Notamacropus eugenii: one gene and its partners. The protein of the gene in region 1 interacts with the protein of each later gene in a pairwise test. Links are inferred from orthologs where the notes say so. Each region holds a gene or a part of one and is shown in the gene's direction. Other genes may lie near its edges. The genes, in order: PGBD1, ZNF496, zinc finger protein 24-like and NR4A1.

Region 1 (7,131 bases):
TGGGAGGGTGTCAGGCCTAGAGGCCTAAGGGCTACCTGAGTCTTTCCTTACCTGTCGCAGGTCTTTGGCTAGCCAAACCAGATAAACGTATGAGAGAAGAGACTTTCCAGAGTCGAACAAGGGTTAGGCTTTATTCAGGGTCTTGGTTACATGTGCAGGGGGAATTCTTCCTCAGGAGAGAGGAGTCCTCCTCCCAAGGAGGCAAAGATCTTACAGTAAGAGATTGGGAGCGGGAGAGGGGAGGGACCCTCTGCCCTCTAAGGGCCCCTCAGTGCTAAGAGCGCCTTCAGGCTTTCCTGACTCTACTTAAGCTCTCCTGCTGCATAGTTTGCACCTGAATACCGTGCCTGTTCTCAGCCCTTAGCTAGACAACAATAGGTGTGCTCAGACCATGGATTAATCTCGAGGGCAGGATGCTGTCCCCAGCAAGTTTCCCATGGGGAAGAGGCGGAAATGCACGAGATAGCCTGGGTCTCACACCTCAATTCCCAGCTGTTCCCTGGGGGGCCTCATGAGAACTCTAAGGTTTAGAAGTCCTCACTTTTACCTGCCCGAGACTGTCCACATGGAACTGAGCTTGCACCTCCAACAGGAGGGGAATTTAAAACTCAAAATTTTATAAAATTGAATGTTGAAAACTCAAACTAAATAAATGAATAAATTGAAAAAAAGAACTTTGGAATTGATTGTGTGATGTGGGAGACAGTGACATAAGAGAAGGTGCTGTGCTATATGTGCTCTATGAGCATGGTATGGTTGTTGTCCTTCATTCTCAAAGAGGACCAAAATGACATCACTATGCTAGAGTCAAGTTTTAATGTGTGCATCTGTGGGTGATCAGACCAATGCAAGTTTGGAATGTTGTACCACAAGTCAAGCACAACTAGTCCGCATGTGCATTTCGGGTGGGTACTACAAATTTGCACCTCCTGCATTTCCTTTGAGCTGTCTCAATTCTGCTTTGCACATTCTTGAATGTGGACATGCAGTGCTGAGCTTGTCATCCCACGTTACACAATCAATTCCAAAGTTCTTAAGGGAGACCTTGAGAGTGTTCCTGTATTGCTTCTGACCACATGTGAACACTTGCCCCATGTGAGTTCTCCATAAAATAGTCTTTTTGGCAAGCTTATATTTTGCATTTGAACAACACAGTCAGCCCATCAGAGTTGTGCTCTCTGAAGCAGAGTTTGAATGCTTGGCAGTTTAGTTTGGGTAAGGACCTCAGTGTCTGGTACCGTCATCCTGCCAGGTGATCTATGAAACCTTCCTAAGACAATTCATATGGAAGTGATTCAGTTTCCTGGCATGGCACCAATATATTGTCCAGGTTTCACAGGCATACAACAATGAAGTCAGCACAACAACTCTATAAACCTTCAGTTTGATAGTCTAATACCTCTTCTCTCTCATATTTTCCTTTGGATCTTCCCAAACACTGAGCTAGCTCTGGCAATGCATGCATCAACCTCATTTGTACCCTACCTGGTGGTAGAACATTCTGAGCTCATATTGATCTGATCAGCTACATTCAGATGCACTATAATGACTCATTTTTGATCCTGTTCCAGAACAAAGGACAACCACCAAGCTATCCTCCATTCCGGTTGAGTGTTTGCACAGATAAGTATCTTAGAATTTAAAAAATTTCTCATTAGCCATATCTGTTTTTATAGTTCCTTCTTTCACAGAACTGATAAGATTTTATGACTTTGTCAAGGTTGAAAACTCAAAGGACCTGACAAGTCCCCAAATAATTTCAAAGATAATGCGAATTTTTCAAGGCCTTTTGTACTTTTCTCAAGCACTAAATGAACATCATTGTTGATTTTCAAGAAAAATATAGCCAATTAAATATTCAAGACAGTTTTTTCAGTATAAGAACAAAGGACAAAAATTCCCAATAAGTGATTATCCAAATTCATCACTTTATTGCATTCACATAAAAGTGAGAGTAATACAAATTCATCACATTCTAGTTATCATTTCTCCAATAAATAGTATTTCTTATATTCTGGCAAGATCATGATGTAAAAATTTTAAGAGCATAACAAAAAATATAAAACAATATTATGGATTTAAAACATGAAGCAAAACTTATTGCCAGTCAAAGGACATCATTCAGGGAAATGCACTTCTAATTTGTCTTACATGGAAAAATAATTTCATTTATCCATCAATTTTGGTATTCTATTCTAGTAACTTAGAAACCAGTGAAGAGGACTTAAGATCAGCTTGCTCTTAGTGCTTATTGCTTAAGGCAAGTTTAGAAACTGCAGACTGCAAAACTGTTGACATTTTGTTCCTCCCCTTTTGGAATTACTGGAAATAAAACTTTTAAAATGGCTTCCATTCCGTTTAAGGCTTTCTGAGAATTCTCTAGTCAGAGAAATTATCTTCCTTTTCTACCCTAAAACAATAAATCTGTAACTCTTCAGGGAAGGGACAGAAAGATAAAGGAGTCTGAAAGCTACTTTCATGAAAATTTCACAAACTTTCTATTTTAAAAAAAATCCTAGAGAGCTGCAACCTCAAAAACCATTAGGATATTTTAGCACTTATAAAAACTACATTTTCATCATAATTTGGACTTGCAGATTACATTTTATTCTCAAATATAGTTTCTGGTTAGGTTAAAATGTCATAGATTTCTGCAAATAAAAAAGAATATCTGTTTCTCTCTCTATCTCTGTTTCTCTTTGTCTGTATCTTCTCCCTCTCTCTCTCTGTTTTCAACCTAGGAACACAGAAATGAGACTATGTATTTTTTTGGAAAACAGACATTTTCAGCATAACTCTCATTCACTTCCTTATCTTCTAGTGAATTTTTTTGGGGGGAATATACTGGTTGTTTGGAGTGGACTGGAAATTTCTTTTTCCAGTACCTGAGTTCGTGGCAGTAATTAGACAAGGGTGAGGTCAAATTTTTGTTCTCTTTAAATTCTGCAAAATAACATTCTTGGTCAGCTATCAGTTGCATCTGGTAAGTTGTCCTGCCTCTGGGATTCCACTCTTATTTCTTGTTCTCTCTTCTCATCTTACTCATTGAAGAATAAAAGTTATCAGTGAGAGAATTTCATAGAGAATTTTTTTGGTTTTATTTTGGCAAGGTTGTAAAGTGTGATGTTATTGTCCCTTAAAGGAATAAGATACTGCCTATGGGCTTCCTGTATGTCCAAAAAGAGATCCTCTTGGTGCATTTCAGAAGCTGCTAAACTAATAAACTGATAGTTCATTTGTTTCAGAAACTGAACTTCTATTTTAACTTGTAGAATTTGTAAAACTTATTAGGTAACCAAGGCCATTCATTTAAGTTTACGATGGCCATTTAGATTGACAGAGCTTAACCAGATCAGATTCTCCCTAGATTTTTTTCAAATCAGTCAAAATCTGTTCTGCACCAGAAATACTGGGTCCCATCGTGAAGACTGACTGTTCAAGGTGGAATTGAGGTTCAGACTTTGATATGGTTGCACCTCACTTTCCTCATCTGTAAAGTGGAACTAAATAATTGATATTCCCAACCCCATTGGGAGTTATGCAAATGTTAATATGATTTAGAATTAAACTATTATTATTACTATCAAAATGTACACTTCTGAGAGACAGAGAGACAGAGAGAGAGAGAGGAGAGAGAGAAGGGAGAGAGGAGAGAGAGAGAGAGAGAGAGAGAGAGAGAGAGAGAGAGAGAGAGAGAGAGAGAGAGAGAGGAGAGAGAGAGAGAGAGAGAGAGAGAGAGAGAGAGAGAGAGAGAGAGAGAGAGAGAGAGAGAGAGAGAGAGAGAGAGAGAGAGAGAGAGAGAGGAGAGAGACAGAGAGAGAGAGAGACAGAGAGAGAGAGAGACAGAGGAGAGGGAGAGAGAGACTTATGAATTGTTAAGACCCTGAAAGACAGGTTTTGACTGGAAAAGAGGCAAAGGTCTGGGGGTCCCAGCAAAGAGGGAGACAGTGAGAAAGGAAGGATTCCCAGCCGAGAGGGTCCCTGTGACTCTGAGGGAGCCTGCCAGGGTTCCAAGCAGAGAGAGCCCAGCGCCCCCTCCCCCAACACTGTCTCAGGCTCGGTGGGCGGGACCCTAAGGTGGGAGAACAAAGAGATGCAGCCAGTCCGCCTCGAGATTCCTAGAGAGGACCAGAGCAGCAGACACGACCTAGATGGCATGCGCACTTCTGGGCGCCCGGCGAATCCTGGAAAGCCTGGTCGGTCCTGAGCGCCCACGCGTTTTCTGGGGCGCGTACCCTCGCAGGCTTCGTGGTGAGTGCCGCCGAGGGGGATGGGGGCGCGGGATCGGCCCGGAGGGGTGTGCGGGTGAAACGCCTCTTCCTCCCCCGCTTCTTCACTCTCCTCTTCCCCTCCCCCCTCCCCCCTCCCCTCCCCCTCCCTCTCTCCCCCTCCTCTTTCCCTCCCCTCCCCCTCTCCCCCTCCTCTTCCCCTCCCCTCCCCCTTTCCTCCTCCTCTTCCCCTCCCCCCTCCCCCTTCCCCTCTCCCCTCCCCCTCCCTCTCTCCCCCTCCTCTTCCCCTCCCCTCCCCCTCTCCCCCTCCTCTTTCCCTCCCCTCCCCCTTTCCTCCTCCTCTTCTCCTCCCCCCCTCCCCTCCCCCTCTCCTTCCCCCCTTCCCCTCCCCTCTCCCCCTCCCTCTCCCCGCCTTCCCTCCGCCCCCCTCCTCCCGCCTCCCTGACTGCTGGAAGCACTTAGAGAAGGAGGAGAAAGGCCTCGGTACGCCGGGTCTGGGGATGGCGTCGGTGTCTGGGGCTCATTAGAGGCTCCGGCCGCGCCTCCCTCCCGCCGCGGAGGACGCCGGGCCCTGCTCGGGGCCTGCTCCCCGCATTTGCGCCGCGGTCCTTGCGGCAGCTCGGGGGATTTGTGGGTAAACCAAGGCCCCCGGCCGTCCCCCGGGGAGGAGCTGCCCTGGGATCCGCTCTCCCGAGCTCTGGCGGTAAGAAGGCGGTTCCCCGGTTTCTGCGTTTTCCGAGCCCCAGAGCCATTTTGACTTGAGAATGACCGGCTAGTGTTTATGATAACCACCGCCGCCTTCCGTAGGAGGAGGGGCAGGCCCCCCGGCCTCGCCGCGGCCCCGGCCCCCCGGCCCCCCGGCCCCGCCGCGGCCCCGGCCCCCCGGCCCCGCCGCTCTGCTCCGCTCCTAGAAACGGGAGGAGGAGGTGGGTGGTTCTGTTGTGCGTCCCGGCCCCAGAGGCGGGAGGAGCTGGATCCGAATCGGGCCTCAGGTGCTAGCGTGCGTTAAGAACGCTTGGAGAAGGGTTCCCCTGGAAGGCGGAATTTATTGACTTTGAAGAGTCAGGAGAACGGAGGAGGGAGAGAGTTGGCGGCGCGCCTCGGAGGCCAGGGGCCGGTGGCGAAGACTGCCTAGGTAGGAGGAGGCCGGGTCACGGAAGGCTTTCTTTGCCGAACGGATCGTTTGCTCCTGCAAACAATAGGAAGCCGCCGGAGGGGGTCCGCCGCGGGAAAGAGGGGGAGCCGGATGGAGGGTGGATGGAGGGGAGGCAGGCTGGAGGTCACCCGCCCATCCGCAGGCTGTTGCGATGGTCCAGGTGAGGGGCAGGGATGAGGGCCTGCACTGGTGAGTAGTTCAGAGAGGAAGGGACGTATTTGAGAGGTTGCAGGCCTCGGAGTGGCAGGCCTTGGCAACAGCTTGGCTATGGGGGGTGAGAGATAGGGAGGAATCCAGGAGGCCTGGGAGGATGGTGTTGCCCTCTCCTGTAACAGGGAAGGTGGGAGGTGGGAGGTGGGAGGGTTTGGGGGAAAGATCCTGAGTTCGGTTTTGACAAGATTGAATTTAAGATGTCTACTGGCATCTGAAAGGCAGCTGGAGATGCCACTTTGGAGGGCAGCGGAGAAGTTGGGGTAAGTTCTGATTTAAGAATCAGAAGCATAGAGATAATAATGAAAACCACGCGAGGCGACGGATCACCAAGTGAAGCAGAATAGAGGGAGAAGAGGAGGGGGCCCAGGACGGAAACGCTAACCTACAGTTAGATGGTATAATCTGGAAAGGATCCAGTAAAGGAGACAGAGGAACAGACAGGTAAGACAAAAAGCAAGAAAGAGTGGGTATTTTAAAAAACCTGAGGGAAGAAGATACCAAGGAGAGAGTATTCAACAGTGTCAAAGGTTGCAGAGATTTAGAAAAATGAGGATTGAGAAAAGGCCATTGAATTTGGCAACTGAGAGATCATAAGTAACTTTGGAGAAAGCACTTTCAGGTGGAATGATAAGGTCAGAATCCAGATTTTAAGGGGTTAAGAGGCCTATTGTAGAGAGCCTTTGGAAGGAGTTTTAACCACAAAGGACAGAAGAGATAAGGGACAATACTTGGTGAGAATGGGGGGATTGAGAGATTTTTCAAGAAAAGGTTGATGTGGACAAGTTTATAAAGCAGTTGGAAATGAGGCAGTAGGCAAGGAGAGATTGAAATTAAGTGAAAGAGTGGAGGTGACAGACAGGGCAGACTTGGAAAAGGTGGTTTTGCTTAGAGGATAAGGAGTAAGGCCCCTTTATCATGTGAAATGGGGTGATGGAGAAGAAAGTGGCAGAAGATATCTGAGTCATTGGAGGTCCAGAACAGTGTAGAAGTAGTTAATGCCCAGTGGCCTCAATTTTTTTTTTTGTGTAAAATATGAGTGAAAGTTCTCAGCTGAGAGAATTGGGAAGTCATGGGAGGTTTCAGAAGGGATGAAAAGATTTGGAAGAGCAACTATGAAAACAAAGTTAGTGACTTGGTGAGGGGGGGAGGTATAGTAAGATTGCCTACCAGCTACCAGAATAATTTTCTCAAAGCAAGATTTGGTTGTGTAATTCTCCCACTTATTCATTGTTTCTGGAATAAAATACAGACTCTTCAGTCTGGTATGTAAGGAAGTGCACATTGTAGGTCTTCTTTGTCTTTCCAGCCATATTTTCTAATCACTCCCCTTTTTGAATTCAATATTGCAGCCAGACTGGATGACTAGCTATTTTGAAAAGTTAGCAGCGTACTTCTGTTGCTATGTGCTTGCACGAGTAGTGTCAGTGCCCAGAGTAAGAAAGAATTCTTCCTCATCTCCATCAAGTAGAATAGTTTTCTTTTCATTGAGATTTAAATTTTTTGTTTCCCCATTTGGTAGTACTTTTTTTTCCT
Region 2 (7,424 bases), about 1.6 Mb from region 1:
TAAGATGATTCATTTTAAAACTTGTTGCATAATCTTTTCTGTGTTGGGGCAAAGTAAACATTGTGTTAAGACCAGGAAAAGCTTCTTTAAAAGATGGGAATTGAGTTGAGTCTTCAAGGAATCTAAGAAACGAGAGGTGAGGAGGGAGAGCATTCCAGGCATCTGTTTTACTCTGGGTCGGAGTGTTGCAATCTTCAATTTCCCACTCCAGTCCCACTATGCCAAGTATCTAGGTCAGAGCACTGCTGGCTCCTGCTGCCAGAGGGCTCCCATCTGACCACATTGTGAACTTCCACAGAATTTAGGCTTTCCCCTCACAAGGTTGCAAGCCTCAGGTGCTTCTTCAGGTGTAGACTTTCAGCCTGTTTTCTGGGCTGATGCTGGCTTCCCTAGTGGAATCTCTCTCCCAGTGACCACAATTTCTGACTTTTTCTTCGATTTTGGTCTGGATGAAGGCATTTATTATCATTTCTCTTTGAACTTTTTGACCGTCATTTCATCTTGTGCCTTTTTACATTTTTGCTAGAGTACATGTGGGAAATGTAGACTGTTTAAATGACCTTTCATGTCACTCTTCTAACCATTAATCTTCCCTATAGATTTTAAACTTGTTAGTAACTGTTTATCCCAGTTCTAAGAAGATTTATCAGTAGAACTCAAGTTTTGCCTGTTCTACCAAGTTGGAAAGACCTACCTACAGTGATGAAAATCCAGGACTGAAGGGTCAATTTAGCTAAATTTATTAATGATTGGGCTTGGGTTTCTGTTCAGGTTAACGATGGACAGTAAGTTTTCTCACAGAGAAGTTAGCAAAGTAGAAAAACACTACCTCTTCTACGATGGTGAATCTGTTTCAAGAAAATTATTTTCTTAAAGTGCTAATAAAATAAGTATGATTTTATTGCTTGTCACCTTGAACCCATCCTGATGCTAACATCTCTATAAAGATGGACATCAGCATTGAAATTGTCTATATGTAGAATCTGAATATAATAAATCTTTAAAATATCATTCAAAAGATGTCATTATTGGAAAATAATTCTTATTAGAAAGAACAAAAATTGAGCATATGGAGTTATAGCCAATATAAGAGATCATTAGAATTAAGCCCAGCATTTAGGACCATAACTAAATATGAAATAATGGATAGGATACAAGCTAAAGGTGAACTGACTCTTTCCAGGAGGGTATGACCCAACTCTAACAATAAGATGTGAAGAAAAATTTCCAAGTAAGATACTTTTGCAACCTAGTCCTCATGAATGAGGAAGGCAAATGGTACTTCAAGCAGTAGGAGATCATTTTATAGAGAAGAGCTTCTGAGAAACTGAAGAGACAAGAGAAAAAAAAAAAACTTTCACCAGCAGAATCTCTAGAATCACAGGTGTATGTTAAGCAGCCTCAAATCTGAATTAAGCATGAGGGAAAACTGTAAAAGTTCAAAAAAGTCAAGATGGTTGCAACCTACAGGGGAAAAATAGGCCAAAATTTCATTTATAACTGTTACCCTTAATCTGATCCTGCTGTATTTATTTTGTTATACTACTAAATGTTCTTCAAAATATTTTTTCCCTGAAACATTGGAACTTCCTCAAATTGCCAGGGTGTTGTCTTTTTTTTTTTTTACTTCATACTTTGATTTGATGATAATATGCATTCAGATATGCATAAGCCTAAACAGTTAAATATTTCATCTGTGTAGGTTGATGTTTTGTAATTTCATATTCCTCCTATAGGATTATAGATCATAAAACTTCCTGCCCCCATCCATTTCCAGATCACTGATATTCTTTTCAAAACAAGACCTGTGTTTGGATGATATTAGAAAGTTCAAGTGGTTATGGTGTTATGTAAAAATTTACAACTAGGTATTCTATGCCTACACCTTTCACTGAGTATATTTTAGAAGTCTTGTATGCGTCTGAGAGGTTTATATATGATTCTTTTGTTCTAAGTCTCCCATTCCATAATGTTTTAAATTTATAGCTTCATTACAACCTTGCAAATTAAGGAAATACATAACGTAGTGGGTTGATCACAATTTTAGTTCCATTGTCTCTTTTTGCCATTCTTAGTCTACAGCCCTTCTGTAGATTTTCTACAGTGTTAATAATTTAAAATTGTGAATTTTCATATAAGATTTTTCCCCCTGTACTTTAAGGTATTTTACTTTTTAAGTATTAGGGAAATTTTAGATATGTGTGCAGAAAACACCAATTCTTAAATTCACAAACCTATTAACTGTTAGGATAAATGGACTCTGTGTCATCTCCGATTCATATCTTCTTAAAGATACTTGTGTTAAACTGTAGCTCTAAACAGTCACAACTCAGATTTCACAAGCTAACTTTTCTAGGAAATACATAGTGTCTGTCTTAATTTTGTTTATCACTGAATTTAAGTCCTCATTTGTTCAGATTCTTAAGAGAAGGTTGTACTTGTGAACATATGTTCACAAGTATGAGTTCAGTTCTTAGATGTATTATATATATGTACTTAATTATACATATGTACTATTATAACTATAACTATATATGTGTATACATGTGTGTGTATATATATATATACGTATATATATGTATATACGTATATATATATATATTTCTCATCTGATACACAGCAAAGTCACTTGCTCTTAAGGTTCATGAACCACCTAAGATAATTTTTTTGTAAACTTCAGTACAAGCCTTGTCAATTAACCTTATATTATGAATAAGCTAAATCATCTTGACTACATTTCTCTAAGAACTGTTTTCCTACTATGCCACTTTGACAAAAGTCAGTACTCAATTTTTCTTATTGGCAGACGATTCTATGTACTGTGGGTGTCTGGGAATGGAAACAGATTGATTTTTTTACCCTCATGTAAGGTGCCTGTTAAGAATTTTATTAAATGCCAAATACTTTCATGGTAAAGTCACATATTATAATCTAAAAACTGTATTTAAGAATTATGAGAACTGTATTTAACCAGCTTCAAGTTGTGCGACTGTGCATAATAAAGAATTTGAAACAGATAATGAGCTATTTGAATGATTAAAAACAGCAGTATCGTCAAAAAATTTTTTACTGAGACTCATGATCAAGCTGGTTACACAGCATAATGAATTTTTCTACTATTACAGTTCTATTACAATTGCCTAATAAATTCTAGTATAAGTCTAAGGAGGAGTATAACCCATTCCAATGAACTCACAGATCCTTTGCAAACCTTAAAGCAGATCTATATGTTAACTAATATTAGTCTTATCCTTGAATAGATACTCCAATTTATTTTGTTTCCCTTACGGCTTCAAGCACAGTATCATTCCACAAGTAATAGCTCAAGAAATGGTTTTTTTTTAGATAGAAATTCTATTTCTATTCTATTCGGTGTTTTAATAGAAAACAGAAAACAAATTAATTTTTAAAAAGAAATGTTTTTGAATAGTCTTTAAGATTTAAAAAAGCACCTTACTTCACACGAACAGTTAAGTAGATGCTGCAAGTATTATTATCTACAAAAGATCATTGAATTATTAGATTCAGAGCTGGAAAGGACCTCAGAATCTCCTGGTTCAAAGCCCTCATTTTACAGATGAGGAAACTGAGGCTTGAGAACGTTATATGACCTCCGAGGTCACACAGGGAGTAAACACCAAAGGCAGGATTTGAACCTATTTGAACCGACTACCGCCAGTACTCTTTCCAGTTTTCCAGATTAACCTGACCATGATCACACAGATAGAGTTGGAGGGATTCCCTGTAATCCAACGCTAACCACCACACTTCACTCCTGCTCAACCTTTGTGGTTAATGAATCCCTTGTCTGTGTGCAACATTGTATTCATTTCAGGAACGAATCTAAGGACTTTAAAGGACTGCGTCTGGTCTTCCTACAAAGTCCAGCCTTAATTGCATTGAGACATCTAATAGATGACTGTACTTTAGCGTCGCTGGAAATGAAGACGACACAGCAGAGAAGCTGCAACATTTCTGGAAGCAGTGAAATCAACATGCGTGCTCAGGGGGCGTGCTGCCCAAGCCCGGAGTGGCTGAGATCTACATGGTCTCCTCTGCAAACACCGGACATTCCAAAGACACCTCTTTGGCTTCTGAAGGCCCGGCGGTCCGTTCGCAGAAGGCCCGAGGGCAGCCCTCTCTCTTTTAAGAAGCCCTTCTAGATCAGCCTACGCTGTTCTTCAAGTCGAAGCATCCCAAAGCCGTAAGAAGACACTTCCGAACGGGTTTAAAAAGGGAAGCCTTCAGCCTATGGGATACATTCCTTTGGGTAACTTCCTTCTCCTCGCGGAGGAAACGGAGCCGGCCCAAGACCCGCGGCTGAGCTGCGCCACCTGCCGGCAGAGGTTTCTTGGGTCCGAACTTTTTCCCGTGTGACGTCACCGCCTGGAGCCAATCAGCAGTTCTCCTCTGGGCTCTCCCCAAGTCCTCGCCAAGCGAATGGAGATGAAGTGAAGAAGCCCGGAGACTGAGTGCAAAGATTCCGATCAGTCCTGAGGTGAAGGGTAAGAAAGAGCGAGAGGCCAACCGACTGTGTTTGCGGCGGGGGGAGGGGAGGGCGGTGCCGCCAGGAGAGCGGGCCGGACGAGGAGGGGGAGAGCGGGGCAGGCCCACGGCCGGACCCCAGCCGCCGCCACTCCGAGGTAAATGGAGGCCGGGCAGGCCCCGCCGTTTCGGGGGAGGCCGGGTTCCGGGCCGGAAGTAGCCGGGGCCCCGCCTCACATACTGTCATCCCGGGGGAAGCCTCGGCTCGTTTCCCGCCCCGGCCGGTGGCTGCCACTGTCGGGTCCTCTCCAAGCCGGCCCTCGACCCCGCTCGGTGGCCGCCGGCCCTGGGTACCCTCGGGTACCCGGAGGCTTCTCCCCACCAACGGAAAACCCGTCACTAGCCTTCTCCCGCTCCGCCTCGCGTTTCCCCTGCCTTCTGGGGGCCCCTTCCTTTACTGTGGTGCAGTGGCAGGATGGACAGTCGGACGGCCGAAAGCCCGACTCCCCCCTTAGGCCTGTGGCCTTAAACAGATTCCTTTTCGGTGGGCCTCTGTTTCATCACGTATAGAACGGCGTGTGTGGTGGGGGTGGATTTGCTCATCTCCAGTGGCCCTTCTGACTCAAAATTTTTACCCCGGTCTCTTTAACAGAACTAAGTTTTTGTGGTATTTACTGAAACTTAGCCTTCTCTTGTAAACATCAGGCGCCTTTATATGCTCTCCAAGGCTCACTCCTTTTTCCCTCGTAGAAGGATGAGTTGGCATGCTGATACTCTTTTAAACACTGGCTCACCCTTACCTAGCAACCATCTTTAACGGTCGATCAGTTAACCGGGATTTATTAAGTACCTTCTTTATGCCAGACACTACTTCTCTACAAATAAACCCCTCCCCCCCAAAAAAAGATCCCCCTGCCTTCAAGTAACTTATGTTGTATCGGGGAAAATAACAGGTATACATATAAATAAATACAAAATATCCAGAAAATAAACACTAATCATTTGCTGCTGTCTGTGGATACACAGATCACGTAAGTCGATTACCTGGCTCAAAATTTTCTATGAGCTTTGTTTCCTTGGCACAGTCTGACCTGGCTCCACAACCTTCGCAATGACTTCTTTCTCAAAAGGGTCATAGCTGAGACTCTTCTCACTACTTCAAATGATTCCTGATCATGACTCTGTCTTGGATGTTTGCTGAATTGCTGAGGACAGAAAGGAGACTTTTGGCCATGGATGATACTTGTTGCTTTACTGTGTTCGTCCTTCCTTGCAGAGGAAGACCATGCCATCGGAGAAATAATGACATGACTTGTACTTGACTTTGTTTTGAGTGAGAGAGGACTGTGTAGGTCACCAGCCTCACTTCTCCTCTCCTCCAGCCTCACCAGCAATCTGAATCCAGTGACCAGATATTCATCAGGATGACTGGAGATGACCCAGGATGAGGCAATTAGGATTAAGTGACTTGCCCAAGGTCACACAGCTAGTGAGTGTCAAGTGTCTGAGGTGAGAGTTTCTGAGGTGTTGCTTTACTAAGAGAAACGGGAAGAATGGGTCTCTTCAATCTTCTCCTGCATGCTCAGCCTACTACTTGGTGAATGAAGCAGTTTAGGAAACAGAACATGAAATAGATAGAACTGAATCAGGGTAACATGGAAAAAGTGCTAGATTGAGAATTTTGTTCCTCAGTGAAAGATCAAAAAATGTTAGGACTTAATCCAAATCTTTCCACTATGCAAGACTGCTTTTGTAATGCATTATAAAATTCCTTTTAAGATCTAACATGATATAATTAAATCTTCACTCTCTTCCACCAAGGGACCAGTTAGTTGTTGATAGTAGCCTAATTCAGACCTGTTTCTCCTTTTCATCTTTTCCCTTCCTACCCTTTCCCCATTTGCCTTCCTTTTCTTTCCCATTTCACCCCCCTTTCTTATTTTTGTTCTCTCATGCTTAAGATAACATGAGAAAAAATGTCTAAGAATTCAGTAATTATTATTTCTAAAACAAGGTTGCCTTGATTTTCTCAGTTTCCTCATTTCACATATGCAATCAGTTGCAAAATCTTGTTATTTCTATGTTAACGTCTTTCTCATAGGTCTCTTTTTCTCCAGTAACAGCTACTACCTTAATTCAGGGCCTTAATACCTATCATATTGCGACAAACTCTTATTTGGTCTCTCTGCCTCAAGTTTCTCCCAATCCCAATCCATCTTCCTGCCAAAGTGATTTTCCTCAAGTGAAGGTCTAACCTTGTTACTCATCCACTCAGTAAACTCCCAAACAGTGACTCTGATACCTCTAGGATCAAATATAAACATATAAAGCTGTATGGGGCAGCTAGGTGGTACAGTGGATAGAGTACCATTGCAGGAGTCAGGAGAACCTGACTTCAAATCTCACCTCAGACACTTGACACTCACTAGCTGTGTGACCTTGGGCAAGTCACTTAACCCAAAGTGACTCATCCTGGGTCATCCCCAGTCATCCTGATGAATATCTGGTACTGGATTCAGATAGCTCTGGAGGAGAAGTTAGGCTGGTGACTCTCCCTCACTCAAAACAAAGTCAAGCACAAGTCATGTTATTATTTCTCTGATGGCATGGTCTTCTTCGGCAACAACAAACACATATAAAGCTGTATATAACCTGGGCCTTTCCTACATTTCTAGTTTTATGCAGTATTCTCTTTTGCCTAATAATTGTTCAGCATTTCTGGAATGCTTTCCCTCCTACCTCTCAGGATCTCTAATTTGCTTCCAAATCAAATTCAATCAACACCTTTTATACAGTGTTTCTTGATCCCCAAAAATGCTAATGCTCTGCCTCCCCAAATTACTTTATGTTCATCTAGTATATATAGTTTTATATTCTTACATGTACATATTCGCTCCCCCAAACGGAACTCAACTCCTTGAGGGCAGAAACTGTTTAAC
Region 3 (7,630 bases), about 850 kb from region 1:
CCACTTGTTGGGGATAATCTATTAATTTATTCTATTTCCATTGCTATGTCAACTAGAAGACTGTTTGCCCCCTTCTCTAAAAATGTCCTTCTTGGATAATTTCCCCTTATTTAAAGTGAATATAAGAGTTTTATAATGTAATTCACTGAAAAGATGAGCACTTTTTATTTTTTAAAATGCATCACAGGAATTTTAGCAACAAGTTTGAAGACATCTTTTTCAGCTCTTCTATTAGACCTGTTGACATTGACCTGGATCTGTGATTTCATTGTCATAAAGAGCATTTTCCGCTGCACATTCACAATTTAAACTATGATCATACCATTTGTATATATGAGAGAGAGGATTTGAACTCGGATCTACTAGATTTCAAAGCTAACACTCATCTACAACACCATGCAGTCTCTCTTGTTATCACACTTTAATATGAAAATTCAGGCTTATAGGAAGGGTAGCCAGAGAGGTATAGGCCCAAGAATAGATGGTTGCCATTATCTGGGATGAGAGATTATTGAGGTCAAGAAATGGACAAGACTCCCAGTTTAGAAAAAAGACATACTCTGATTTAAGCTAGTAAGAATGTAAATAGTATGTAGTTTAGAGCTAGCTCATTTGACAAGAACAAGATGCTTCCCTGTGTTAGTAGGAAGTCTCTAACTTTAAAAAATGTGTGTGTAAAAATAAGCTACCAAATCAGATTATCACTTGACATCAAAGTATATTATAACAAACTGATGTTAAGCTAAGTGGTGATAGCATCATTATCATTTGGAAATGGAAAGTTGTAGGGTAAAACTTTTTCAGAGTATCTGAAGCATTGTCTAAGAGGATCCCCTTTATTAGCTGACTCGTATCTAATTATAATGGCAGGCATATCTTTATAATGAAGAAGTGTGATTGATTGGGCTATTGAATCTTATTGTAAGTATCACTTAAAATTGAGCAAAAGGAACTTTAGATAATTTTGTCACAAAATTTCAGAAGTCTCAGTACCTGAGAGGCTACTTATTCCAACCCATAACTTAACAGTATACCCCAGATAGCTCAATACCAGAAAAAGATAATTAGTTAATACAACTATGTAATTGTGATTAATACATATATATTTCCCCAACATAAATTAAAAAGTGACTTCCTAATACAAATAAATTTTGGGATTTGGGTATCACCCTTGGGTAGCTTAACCACTGTTTCCAAGCATAGACTTTGGATCAGATCGCAGTCAGAGTCTGGACCCATGATGATACCACAAAAATGTAGAAACTGGTAATACCTGATTTAAAGAACTTGCCAAAATGCATTCTTCAAAATTGAAGTTAAAAACATCCCCACTATAGTTTATAAGTTTTAAAGATTTTATATTTTCCAGCAGCTCATCGATATGTATTGGGCAAGTATAGTAGCACAGAAATTATATCTACATGTTTAATGGAAATAAGTGTTCTATTTGAAAATAAAGCAACTGGCTTATTTATTTAAATTACTTTGACAGAAACTGATAAACTAATTTTCCCTTTTGAGGGATTCATTATACGTATTATAATAATACACATTTTGTTAGTGATAATGCCTATGTAACGTACTCCATTGACTGTATTCTCCTGTTGTGCTTCAGTTACACCACTGAGTAGACAAACGTCAGACGTGAGAAAGAAGAAGGAAAAGGAAGTACCTGTAATTGGCCATTTGGTCTACCTGTAACTGTCACAAAGTATAATCATTTCACACTTCTCCCAAGATTATTAATATATCTAATGCTTTGGATGATTCCAATAGGTTGGAATTAGTGTGGGCCAGCTAAAAGTATATGTGACAAATATATAGCAACAAGTCATCAAAAAAAGCCAGTGGGGAAAAGTGAATGCAAAATGGAGCTTGCTTATAAATATGCTGATAGTGATGATGTCATGTGGATTATAGAGTTAAGTATATATGTATGACTGTATTGATATAATGTATTATTTTATATTATAGAAAATGTAAGGGTCTTTTCTTTGGGACTCATTCTCCTTGTGGCTGAAAAGAGCAAACCAATGACCAATAAAGCAGTGACCTCCCCATAGATAATCATTGTTGTGTGTTATTCCCCCAATAAGAGGATGATCATCGTTGCGTTAGGACTTGGATACCTTGCACATTAGACTGGAGAGTCTAAATCAGGTAAACTGAGGGGTACAACTACCCTCATTTGGTTAATCATTCATTCAGCAAGTGTTTATTAAGTGCTTAAAACATACCAGGCTCTGGGGATACAAAACAAAAACACACCTGCCTTTATCTTCTACTGGGGGAAACTGATTACATGGATAAGTAAGTACAAAAATACTCAAAGTAATATGGGATAGGGGAAATGTTCTGAACAATGGGAGGAATCAGAAAAGACCTAATATAGAAGATGACACTTGTACTAAGCCTGGTTGGAAAATAGGAATTCTAAAAAAAACAGTTGAGGAGGGGAGTAACGTCTAGGTATGGGAGATATTCTAATGAAAAGGCTCAAAGGTGGGAGATGAAATGTCATGTTCAGCAAGTTAGACCAGTCTGGCTATGACATATGTAAAGGGCACAACATATGATAAGCCTCAAAAGACAGGCTATGCCCAGATTATGAAGAGCTATAAACAACAAAGGACTTTGTATTTTATTCTATCAATTCAATATGATGTAATCAAAACTTTCCCTGGGGACCATAGGTAGGAAATCTGATCAGAGCATTCTTTCTTTCTAACAGCTGAACAAGCCCTTTAAAGTTTCAGAAAACATGGAGGTCTCTATCTGGAAAATTTCTAGGCATGATCAAGATATTTGTACCTGCTATTAGGTAAATGAAATAATCTCCAAACACAGGAGAAGATTTAGGGAGGATGTGATAGTTTTCTTGAAATATTTTAAGTCTCATCATGGAAAATATATTAGACTATTTTGCAGAGAAACAAACTTTGGCTTCAAACAAGGAAACTATTCCTAAGAGCTGTCTAAAAATAGAATGGGCTGTTTGACAAACATTAAGTGACTGCTATGTGAAAGACATTCCTGAGAGTTGAAGGTAAAAAACGGAACTAAAGCCTTCAAAGAACACACATCCATTGGAAATGTAGTGGGTTCTCCCTAGCTGGAGGTCTTCCAGCAGAAGCTGGAATCACAAGGTGGATTCCTCTTCAGGTAGGAGTTGAACTAAATGACCCCTGAGGCTCAAACCCAGACTGAATCTGTGATTTTACAAATCTTTTATGCTTTTGATGGCAAGTAACTAAAAAATTTAGTTGTAGTAGAAAAATACCTGCCAATGTACCATACTTATGAAAAATTTGCCCAGTGAGTTGTCTTTTCTGAGTTGGCTCAAGCTTTTTGTTAGAACTAAAAAAAGCAGAGATAATGCAGACCAAACTTTCACTTCCCCCAGCCATTTAACCAAAAGAAATTTAGCTCTGTATTTGTTTTCAAGCATCCCTGAAATTCCACCTCATGTGACGAACCAGTTTTCCTTCCTTAAAAAAAAAATCTTGTAATCAGTATATAATAACTTTGGTCTTTTTTATTTCCTTTCCTTGTGTATTTCATATCTTATAACTTTTATGGCACCATAATATTCCATTACATTGAAATACCATAATATATGCATTCTCCAAATAAACAGCAAACATTAAGTACCTACTATGTACAGCATTATGGTGGACTCCACAAACAAAAGTGAACCAGCCCCTACCCTTAAAGTGCTTGCATTCTAAAAGGGAATTTGGAGGATGTGGGGCTTAGGGAAGGTGCAGAAAAACGCTAGGAAAGGCTTGGTGCAGAAGGTGATGCTTGTGCTGTCTTAAGTAATTTGGGATATGAGTAGTTTTCAATTTTTGTCTTTTTCAAATCTCTCTCTCCTTCCCCTCCCTCCATATATGTGTGTGCATGACATTTGCCTTAGTCTTGACATTTTAAATGACTATTATTTTAAAATGTTTGCCATTCCAACAGATACAATATATCCTAACATGTAACTTTCTAACGAATATATTACCGGAAAACTGTTGGAGATACTGTTTCAGACACCTAGCAGATACAAGAAAGCTTGACATTATGTAACTTTCTAACGAAGATATTTCCGGAAAGCTATTGGTGGTAACTGTTTCAGACAAATTGACAATTGTTAATGGAAAGATACATTGTTGCTAGGTTGTAGAGGGTTTCAAAAACCAAATCGTTTATACGTTCCAAAAGTCTTAGTGCAGGTTTAAATTTTAGTATCAAAACTGCACTAAGACTTTTGCAATGCCTCGTATCTTATCCTAGGGAACCAATGGAGTTTATTGGACAAGGGAATGACATGGTCAGTCCTGTACTTTAGGAAAATCACTCAACTGTGTGGAGGGTAGACCGGAGAAGGAATAGACTTGCGATAACGAGAACCTGGACTAGGGCGGTGACTTTTGGAGGCTTTGTGCATAGCGAGAAGGGGTAGAAAAGGCAGGATTTGGCATCTGACTGCAAATGTCGGGGGAGACAGGATAAGAATCGTCGCCAAGGTTACGAAAAATGCTTGCCGCCCCTTTCCGTTCTGAATCTACCATCACATGCTTGTAGGATTCCCCACTCCCTCATCTCTACGGCAACCACTTGAGTCACTTCCCCCTGGCCCGCTCCGGATTGAGAACCGGAAGCAGCTCTGCCGGGAGGCTTCTGGGAGAACGTTTTTCTAACATCCTTTTACGACAGCCGGGGAGAAGGCGAGCCACCTCCTTCCCAGGCCGGGGGTGAGAACAAGAAGGGTACAGGGCAAGCCTGCGTTCGGACAAGTCCGAAGTGGGGGCACCGAGAGCGAGGACCCAGGAGGCTTCATTCATCCGTGTGTCCCAACTGCTGCACCCATAGCCCGAGATCTGCGAGGAAGGACGGAAAAGGGGGGAGAGGAGAACTTGGCGATTCTTCATGGCCACCCTGCTGTGACGTTTTCAACCTCATCTCCGTGCCCCGCCGCGGAGCCATTGAGGGTTGAGTATTCCAAGGGAGGTGCCTGTCTGCAGAAAGTAGGGGCCGTGTGCGAGGGCTTCTGGGAAGAGTAGTCCGGGCTGGGTGTGTGCGGAAGTCTTCAAAGGGTCTTCTTGGAATTAGGTGAGTGCTGGGTTGAGGGTCCGAACATCTCAGGTTGCCGGCATGTCGCCTCTGTGGCTCCCCAGGGATGCGCCTGGGCGTCCGTGGAGGTTCTAGACCCTGCAGCCAGAACAGGAAGATTGTTTTTAGAGCTAGGCCTGCTGTGTCCGTGTCCTGTACCCCTCGATGACTCTTTCCAGCCTCACTCCCTCCTTACTGAGCTGACGGGGAAATTTTTCTTAGAAAATAGGCAAAAAAGAGGGGGAGGGGGAAAGGAGCGTTTCCTTAAGTAGCTTTCGATTAAGCGTTGCTCTCTGCGGCCAATAAATGAACACACATTTTTGAAAAACTACATACTAAGTGCCAATTGCTGGAATAAACCCTGGAAATACACCCAACTAAATAATGATGCACTCCTTCTCTCAAGAAGTTTAACATTCTGTTGAGGGAGACAACGTGGACGTAATTTAGAATATGCAAAAGACAAACCCCGTAATTTTGGAGAGAGCATTAGCATCTTGAGAAAGGTTTCCCAGAGAAGGTGTTACTGGAGTTGTTTTGAAAGAAACAAGGAAATTAAGAGGCCGAGATGAGGGAGTGCATTCCAGGCATAGGATTCAGCCAGTGCAAAGTCAAGGAGATGGGGAAATGGAGTGTCCTGTGTAAAGACCAGCAAGGTCAGTCTGGCTGGACTGCAAGAGTGTGGTAAAAAAGGAGTGGATAATAAGGGATTTTGGAAAGGCAGGCTGGGAAAAGGTTGTGAAGGGTTTCAAATGTCAAAACTCTTTTGTACATGGTATTTGTTTGAATTTAATCCTAAAGAATTAAGGAACCACTGGAGTTCCAGTGAGAAGGTTACATGGTCACACCTGTGCTTTAGGAAAGCCATTCTAGTAGATTTGTGGTGAATGGATTGGATTAGGAAGAAATAAAACAGGAAGAGGAGGTGACAGACTATTACAGTGATCTATGCATCTGGCGATGTGGGCCTGGTCCAGAGTAGTGAGTGTGTGAAGAGATGGGTGACATTTGAGATGTTAAAAAAGTAGAAATATAACTATTTGGCGACTGAATAATAAATATGTGGACTGAGGAAGGGAGGTTTCCAAAAAATAGACAAAAACCTTGCGCCTAGTCAGGATTAGGAGTGAAAAAGCACACTAGTAGAATCTTTTGCTCATAAGGACTTATCTCGGACTCCTAGGGTTGACGGAAGTCCCTTTCTCCTGGTTAGTACATAATGAACTTTTTGAAAAGAATAAAGGGTTCCTTGACCACAGTTACTGAGTAGACTTGAGTCTTATTCAAGTTATTTAAATAAATATTGAAAGAAATGCACAGGGCCTGAGGTGAAGGTAGAAGGAAGGTAGAAGGAGGTAAAATTTTTCTGTCATTTGTCTTTGGTTCACTGGAGGGAAAAAAAGTGTGCTGACTACCCACAAACAAAAAACAATAAAGATCCATATAAGATTTGAACAGATATTACCTTAGCATTACAGATTTTACTGTACCACCCATTTCATCATGCTTAATATTTACAGATGATGTGTACTGAAAATTATTTGAGGACAAAATTAGGGGAGCTGCCTTCAATTTTTAAGAACCACTTTCTGGGGATCATTGAATACATTATCCACAGTTGCTATTAGGTAGCTGTTTCCCTAAAATCTGACTCATACACTGGAGGTTTCTCACAGATTTTTAGTTCATTCTTTGTCTTTCTAGCTAATCTTTTATTTGTTGTTTTCACTCATCTTTGTGACTATATGAATAATAATATTAGTGGTAATTTCTCATATTCATTTTTTTTTTTTTTTTTACAATTTTAAAGGCAGCTGGTGGCACAGTAGATAGAACACCAGGCTTGGAGTCAGTAAGACCTGAGTTCAAATCCAGCCTTAGACACTCACTGCTTTGTGACCCTGGACAATTCTCTTAAGCTCTCTCAACCTCTGTTTCCCTAACTGTAAAAATGGCAATAATAATAATAACACCAGGCATAGTGCCAGGTACATGGTAGTTGCCATATAAATACTTATTCCTTCCTGGTTTGTCACAACACACCTGTGAGAGAAGAAGTGCAAGTATCATTCCCCTTTTTCAGATGAGGAAATTGAAATTCAGGGAAATTTAATAGCCCGAAGTTATACAGCCAATAAGTAGTAAAGCAGAGACTAGCATTCCAACCAGAATAATTGAGTGCTTTGGCTCTTATGACCAGATTTTCCTTTCCTTTTATGAAGTTGTGGTTTATATAAGGAATAAAATATCAATATTTCTTTGTTCAGTCTTATTTTTCTATCTCATAGAAAAGCAAATATCCTTATCGGATGATTAGCTCCTGACTAACCTTCGTTATCATATATATGTCTAAGCTTTTACGGTTAGTTATCTGTTGCTGCTGATTTTTTTTTTTTTGTCCAATATTCCAGGAGTGGTAGAAGAGCTAAAGGTAACTATATTGGACCCCAACTGAAGTAAGTTTCCTTCCGACATAGTGTCATTCAGAATGTCTACAGAATTGAGTGAGGATTCAGTATTGATTTCTCCC
Region 4 (7,593 bases), on another chromosome or scaffold:
CTTTTCTGTGTATTTTAAAAATACATATTTTATTGAGTCTCCTTTTGTTCATTTCTTTTTCTGTATCATTAGAACTTCTTCCATCCTCCCCCCCTCAAAAAAAAAGCCCTCTCATAGAACAAATAAGTATAGTCAAGCAAAAGAAATTCACACATTGTGTCTGAAAATGTCTGTCTCATTCTGCATTTCGAGTTTACCACCTCTCTGTCATGACGCAGGAAGCTTGTATAGTCATCAGGCCCTTTGAAAAGTGATTGGTCATTGATTGCACTGGTCATAATTCTTCAGTCTTTCACAGTTTAGTCATTGTTCTCATTCTCTTCACCTCATTGCTAGTTGCTTTCTTTTTCAGTTTTTGAGAATAATTTTAATTTGAAGGCACTTGGTACAGAAGATAAGAGTCCCATCTCAGTCAATTTCTGGTTCTATAAACCTCTTCAAATCACTGAATCACTGCCTGCCTCAGGTTCTTCATCTGTAAAATGGAGGTAACAATAGTCTCTACCTTCCAGAGTTGTTGTGAAGATAAAATGAGACATTTGTAAAGTGTTTTGCAATGCTAGCTATAATTATTATTCTTTAAATATTTGGTATTTTTATACCCAGATGCTAATTTTATAACAATAACTGGCATAAGTGCCAATTAAAACAACACTGAGGTTTTTACTTCATACCCAGACAATTGGCAAAGATGAGAAAAGATGGAGGAAATAAATATTAGGGGACTCTGGAAAGACAGACATACCAATACATTGTTGATGGAACTGTAAGTTGGTCTAACCATTTTGGAAAACAATTTAGAATTATGCTAAGAAAGGGGTCAAAATATTCAGCACTCACTGCTGGGTATTCATTAAGGGCACATGGACACACACATGACACACACAATATTCATAGCAGCACTTTTTGTGGTAGCAAAAAATTGGAAATAGAACAGATGTGTGTTGATTGGGGAAAATCTAAATAAATTATTGGTATACAAATGTAATGGAATGTTACCGTGTCATGAGAAACAATGAATATGAAGAATTCCAAGAAATCTAGGAGTGCTTAGATGAACCGAAGCAGAATAGAATAGAAACAATATTCATTGTGGCTACAACAGTGCAGATGGAAAAAAACAACAACAAAAAAGCTCTCTGAAAATCATATAATTATAACAACCAAACTTACTTCCTGAGAAGAGCTGAGAAAATGTGCCTCCCTCCTTTCTTTGCACAGATGGGGAGACCATGAGTGTGGAATATTGCATATACTGTCAGACTCAGCTCGTACTGGTTGGTTAGACTGAACTACTTTTTTTCCTCATTTAAAAACTGTTATTACAAACACTAGCCTTCTGGGTAGGGGATAGGGAAGAGATATACTCTGAAATGAAGATGGTGTGAAAATATGTATCAATAAAATATGAAACATCAAAAGCAATGAAATAAAAAATCAAAAGAAAAAATCTGTTCCTATGAAATTTTAACAAAGAATTAAATTCTGTGAGAAGCCCCCCCCCCAAAATATTGATTCAAGCTGACAGCATCCCATCATGGGTGTTATGGGGGAGATCCAGAGGAAGGAGGAACAAGTTTCCTGCCTTTTGAATTTCCAGACCAAGAAAGAATCCCGATAAGCCAAGTTAGGCTTGGAGAACTGAATAGCTCAGTAAGATAATTAAGAATTCAAGTGCCATTCATTAATATAATGGAACATGATAATGCAATTTAAGATTGTAGGAGGCATACTGAGAAACCTGAAAAGATCTATTTGAAATAATAGGGATATTGAACTTGAGTGGGCGAGGGATAGGGGTGGTACCCATAATTTAATTGGTTTAAGGAACTCCATGGTGAGGAAATAATACAAAGTGAAAAAAGGCTACCAAGAAGGATGTGGTATGAGTACATTCTAACTACAAGGATACAAAAGGAAAAGGGAATGAGAATGATTAGTCAGAGTGAATGAAAAATTATGATACTTGATGCACTGAAATTAGTTAATTTGAATGTAAATAGTTGCTAAGCATCTCAGTTGTACTGAGGCTCATTTAATCTTATTTTTATTGTTTTGGTTTGGTTTTATGCCTCCTTTATTTTGGATGGTAATCTTTGAATAAACATCTTTTAAAGGAACTAGAAAGTACCATCTGGAGTGGAACTGATAGGTCTCTTGCTCGACCTTCTTTCTCATTACCTAATCCTGGTCTATTATTTCTGATTTTGCATTATGTTCTTTTCTCTGAAAGTAAATCCTAGAGAGGCACTCATGTTCTGGAGTATTCAGAAGTGGGGGCTAGTAAAGGAAAGAGGGAGCATATAACAGGCGAGTCCATCCAATTAAAAAGGGATGGCAAGAGAAAAGTGAGAAATTAATTAATTAATTATGGGTTTGATGAAGTGGGTATCTGAAACAATGGGGTCCAGCGGATTTAGGAGGTAGGAAGATTCAAGAGGTCCATTGATCTGGAAAAGGTTTGGGGGAAAATGGAAAGGTGAAAGGCCAGAGGCAACACCCCATCCCTAGTTTGGAAAGGCCTAAGGCCAGGACAAACTGAATCTACTCAGAATATCTAGTTTGAATTCCCTTCCTCCACTCAGTAACTGTGTGACCCTTCGAGAGGCATTTAACTTATCTGGTCTTCAGTTTTTTCAACTGAAAAATAAGGGGGTCGGGCAAAGTGACACCTAAGCTGTCTTCTAGCTCCCACACTGGGTGATTTTTCTGTAAACTCGCTTTATGTGGTGCAACAAGTGCTAGGATTGATTGGAGAAACCTCAATTGAATCCCTGGGAGCTCATGAGATCACCAAGTAAAATAGCATAGAGCCTGGGTTGGCAAACTACGGCATGGGCCAAATCCAGCCTTTCACCTGTTTCTGTGCAGCTCAGGCCCATGGGCCTCTCTATCCCTGGGGAGAGTAAGAAGAGAAAGTGACTCAGCGAAGAGCCCTGGGGGATACCCACGGTGACCAGTCCTGACCCAGATTGAAGATCCAGCAAAAAAAAAGACTGAGAGGGAGGGGTCAAATTAAGTAGGAGGAGAACCAGGACTGAGAGTCATGAAAAGCTGGGGAGAAGGAGAGAAGAGAGCATCAAGGGGGAGAGCATGGTCACCAGTCTCAGGTGCCACAGAGAGGTCAAGAAAGTTAGAAACTTTGGAGACAGCAATTTCAGTGGAAAATAATGAGGTTAGAAGGCAGACTGCAGAGTTAAGAAGAAAGTGAAAAGAAAGGAAATGGAGGCACCTATTATACACTGCATTCTCCAGTAGTTTAGCCACAAAGGCAGGGGGGAGGGGAGGGGGCCCAGCTGCAGGAGGAAGAGGGGAGAGGAGGAGGAGGGGGAGGAGGTAAAGGAGCAAGAGGGGAGGTGGAAGGGGAAAGGGGGGAGTGGAGGAGGACAGGTATTTCGGGAGTGGATGCATTAGATCTCTGAATCTAGAGATTCCACGAGGCACAGGGAGCAAGAAAGACCAGGTCTATCTATTAGACAGCAGATAAGGGCTGGAAATCAGTGAAGGTTTAGTTTAGAAAGTCGAAAGCGAATTCTAAATGAATGAATTAGCATTTTTTAAGGGACTGTGATGCACCAGCTTCTGGGGATGCATATCTACCCGGACTTGCGATTTCATTGGTATAGGAATGCAGACCCCCATCTTAGGTACCACGGTCTGGTCCGAGAGAATCGCCTGAGAGGGATAAGATCGTGCGATTAAGAGAGCTACTATGTATACATCGTGCAATTAAGAGAGCTACTATGTATCCAGGGTCTGAAGGCTGGCCGAAGCCTCCACGCACGCAGAGGAGATCTGTAGCTCTCTTCGTCCTCACCCCACGCCCCCAAGTGTTACTGTCTCCCTTTTATCGCTGAAGAAACTGAGGCAGAAGGAAGTGAAGTGCCTTGCCCGGGTCCGAGGGCTGGAAGGGGCTGACGGTCCCAGGTCCCGACTGCTTTCCCGCGGCACCAAACACACTTCTCTGCGCGATACCTCGGATCGAGGGAGGGCCGCCAGGAGCAGAAAGCGCTCGCTGTCTTTGGAGACCAGGGCCCTGGGTTCGAATCCCTCCCTGTTCACTCTCTGGGTCTCAGTTTCCCTCCCCTGTCTGCAGCTAGGAGGCGGCGGACGGCGCGGGATCCGAGCCTTTCCCAGCTGTGACCGGTCTGCCTCAGTTTCCACAGCTGTAAAACGGCGACGACGGCCGCAGCACCCCGCCTCCCGGGGTGGTCGTGAGAATAAAATGGATTAACATGGGCCAACCTGCTCGCTGCTTCACCGAGGGGGGCAGGGGCACGTGTGCCACCTGCCCGGGCGGGGGCGGGGCTCCGGGCGCGCGGGGCTATTCCGCCCGGGAGCCGCTATTTTTAGCCCATTGAGGCGGGCGACGCTCCAGGGGCAGGCAAGCAGCCGCCACCGCCGCCGCCGCCGGGATTCCGGAGACGTCAATGGGCGCGCGCGTCACTCCTCCCCCGCCGGCCTCCGGGGGGAGGCGCGCTGCCTGCCGGAACAGCCGCTCGCGCCCAGCTCGCGCTGGGGAGCGGGGGGAGGGGCGGGGGGAGGCCCGGGAACAGCCGGGCCGGGGGCTCCCTTGGCTCGGAGAAGGAGGAGGAGGGGGCCCATGGCGACCGCGGGGCGGGCGTGCGGAAGGAGAGTGAACCGCATCGAGGAGCGGGCCTCGCACCCCCTCTGGGACCCCCGCCCAGGGTTGGGGGCCCGTGTCTGCAGAATGAAGGGCGTCCCTCCCGGGCGGGGCTTCGCGCCCTGCACAGCCCAGCTCGGGGAGCCCCAGCGGGCCAGGTGAGGGAGGGGGCGGGGCACGGACTGGGGAAGCCGGGCTGGAAAGTGGGGGCGGAGCCCGGCCGGGGGCGGGGGGCGGGGCCGCCGAATGGGCAGGAACTTTCCTCGGGAGGGAGCGGGGGAGGGAGGGAGTATTGTCGCGGTCTGGGAGTTTTTTAGGACTAGAATCTGCTTGTGTTTATTATCATTATTGTCAATATGGAGCATTCTAGATTGTTTTCAGATTTGCAGACCGCTTTTTACATGTTATCTACATATTACATAATACATGTCATACGTAGATAATATATTTGCATATATTGTCTAATATATTACATGTCGTAATATGTAGATAATATGTTTACAGATTTTATCTAATATATTACATATATTAACCCAATGAGGTTGCACTGTGAAGTAAGTGCTATTATCCCCATGTACAGATGAGTAAACTAAGGCGGAGATTGGAGTGGTGACTTGCCTAGGATCATATAGTAAGTATCTGAGTCGGGATTTTATCTCCTGACTCCAAGTCTACCACCCAGTGGGGGGGGGGTTGGGAAGGGAGAAGGTAGATAATACCGTCTTGGGAAACTTGGCAGTGCCCAAGGCACATTTCCTAGTTATGTGACAAAAAAGGACAGTGTGGTGAACCTCTATTCCCTGGGCCTCAGTTTCTCACGTATAAAATGAAGATAATCATATACTCCCAGGAAAGAGTGTCCTGCATGCTCCCTGAAACCTGATTATATTTTGGGTTCTGCATGAAAGTGGAGTATGGACAAACTTGATAACCTAGATTAGGTTCCTGCTGGCAAAGATCACCACCATTCTCTCCCTCCCCCCCTCCCCGCCCCAACCTAGGAGGGGAAAAGGCACCTCTACCTCCACCCCAGGTTAAGCTATGTAGGCTGCCCACCTTCTCTGCTACCTTTGGACTTAAAAGATTTTCCTAAAGCATTGAGAGATGGTGAGCTGCAGTATGTGGCAGAGGCCAGGCTAGAACCTGGACGGGTCTTCCTCATTCCAAGGCCATGCTGCCTATCCAAATGAGTGGAAGAGCACTTATTTATCACTTTCTGTCTGCAGTGCACACACGTGGCTATATGCTGGGTAGGCAAATGCAAAAAGAAGTGAGTTTTTGCCATCAAAGTTCTCATATCACAATAGTAGGAGACAATACACAATACATTGTGTTGACTGAGAAAGAGTTTTTCACAGAGGAGTCACAGGGATGTTGATGGGTGTCCTAGAGGCAATCAATTGACACATTCTTTTGAGGAATGGTGGTATAGATTTGATTACTATTCTCAGAGTTAGTTAGAAACTTGGGGAGGAAAGAATGGGCCATTTTGATGGCATGCAGATAGATGGGAAGTAGTCTGGTGTGTCTGCGTCTGGGCTAGATGTGGTGAATGCTCACCAATTAGAAGCCCAGGGTCTGAAATATGGGAAGAAATCTGATTATCATAGAGAGTAGGATGCTACCTTCTACCAGGGTCTGAAGCCTAGAAGCCTAGGCTGAGAACTTGAGATCTAGGTCAGAGGTGGAGACTTGAAGATGATGATGATGATGGATGACAGCTAGAAGTTGACAGGTGAAAAGGTCCATACAGGAAAGGAATCCCTCCTTCAAGACCTTCAAGATCCTGTCCTTAAAGAGGGAGCCCCTTCCCACTTTTGGACAATTCTAACTTGTTTATCCCAGTGTTGAGCCTAAATTGGTCTCCTTGCAAAATATAACTTCTATCTACTGCCATTGACTCTACCCTCTGGGGTCCAGCAATTCACATACTTGGAGACTGCTATCATGTCCTCCATCCCCAGCTCCCTACTTCTTCCCTTTCCCCTTCCACCCTCCCCCAGTCTCCTCTTCTCCAGGTTAAACTGGGCATTCCCTTCCATTAATCTCATATGCCATGGACTCAAGACCCTTCATTATTCTTTGGTTTGACCCAGGCAGAGTAAAATGGTATCATCATCTCCCTGTTCCTAGAAACTATTTCCCTCTTAATACAGCTCAAGATTGTTTCTAGCATTTTTTTTTTTGACTGTCCATTACACTGCTGACTCCTCCTGAGCCTGGAGCACCCTGATCTTTGTTCAGACAACTATTATACATCCTTATCTCCCTCATCTTTTACTTGTGAAGTTGATTTTTTGGCACCCAAGTGGAAGACTTTCCATTTATGTCTAGGGCCTTTCACTTATTCCATTCAGTTCAGTGCTATAGGCTGATCATTTTGGATCCTGATTCTTGTCATCACCTGTGTGAACTCTTCTTTCCAGTTTTGTGTTGTCTGCAGATTTGGTGAACATAACATCTGTTCCTTTATCCAAGTCATTGATCATATTGTTAAGAGGCATTGATCCCTGGGGCACTCCATTGGAGACCTCCTCTCACTTTGACATTTAGCACTACTTTGGCTGTCCAAAGTACTGTAGATACTTCTGCTTTAATATCAACCATATCCATCTTCTTTGCAAGAAACATGTGAATAGTTTATCAGAAGGTTTGTTTGTTTTTTTTTAATCTAGGTAGATTGTATCCACAGCATCCCCCACTTACGTAATCTCATCAAAAAATACAGTGAAGTGAGTCTGGCATGGCTGTGCTTGGGCCTTTGTAATCCCTGATTGCCTGATCCATCCATCATTTCTTTAATGATCTGTAAACATGGTAAATGCCCATCAATCAAGAAAGCTCAAGGTCTCTGCCTTTGGCCCAAGGTTGGAGCCTTGGGTTCCCAGGGAAGGTAGAGGGTACTTTTCCTTCAAGATGACTGAGTGCTTCTCTTGACATTGGAGCCCTGGGTATGTTGTGTTTCCAGT

The links.
Region 2: the proteins of PGBD1 (region 1) and ZNF496 interact in binary tests that used the Homo sapiens proteins (3 or more experiments, as listed by UniProt). The two-hybrid records come from large-scale screens. The link is inferred for Notamacropus eugenii from reciprocal best matches to the Homo sapiens genes PGBD1 and ZNF496.
Region 3: the proteins of PGBD1 (region 1) and zinc finger protein 24-like interact in binary tests that used the Homo sapiens proteins (3 or more experiments, as listed by UniProt). The two-hybrid records come from large-scale screens. The link is inferred for Notamacropus eugenii from reciprocal best matches to the Homo sapiens genes PGBD1 and ZNF24.
Region 4: the proteins of PGBD1 (region 1) and NR4A1 interact in binary tests that used the Homo sapiens proteins (3 or more experiments, as listed by UniProt). The two-hybrid records come from large-scale screens. The link is inferred for Notamacropus eugenii from reciprocal best matches to the Homo sapiens genes PGBD1 and NR4A1.

The regions. Positions count from the first base shown.
Region 1 is NC_092873.1:73,251,119-73,258,249, forward strand, and holds the start of PGBD1 (piggyBac transposable element-derived protein 1), read left to right. Parts: upstream 1-4,124; 5' UTR 4,125-4,251; intron 4,252-7,131.
Region 2 is NC_092873.1:74,849,262-74,856,685, forward strand, and holds the start of ZNF496 (zinc finger protein 496), read left to right. Parts: upstream 1-4,416; 5' UTR 4,417-4,505; intron 4,506-4,556; exon of another isoform or gene 4,557-4,643; intron 4,644-6,888; exon of another isoform or gene 6,889-7,424. UniProt on the Homo sapiens protein: DNA-binding transcription factor that can both act as an activator and a repressor.
Region 3 is NC_092873.1:72,398,632-72,406,261, reverse strand, and holds the start of zinc finger protein 24-like, read left to right. Parts: upstream 1-4,625; 5' UTR 4,626-5,100; intron 5,101-7,511; 5' UTR 7,512-7,588; coding exon 7,589-7,630. UniProt on the Homo sapiens protein: Transcription factor required for myelination of differentiated oligodendrocytes. Required for the conversion of oligodendrocytes from the premyelinating to the myelinating state.
Region 4 is NC_092874.1:224,525,203-224,532,795, forward strand, and holds the start of NR4A1 (nuclear receptor subfamily 4immunitygroup A member 1), read left to right. Parts: upstream 1-4,575; 5' UTR 4,576-4,782; intron 4,783-7,593. UniProt on the Homo sapiens protein: Orphan nuclear receptor. Binds the NGFI-B response element (NBRE) 5'-AAAGGTCA-3'. Binds 9-cis-retinoic acid outside of its ligand-binding (NR LBD) domain.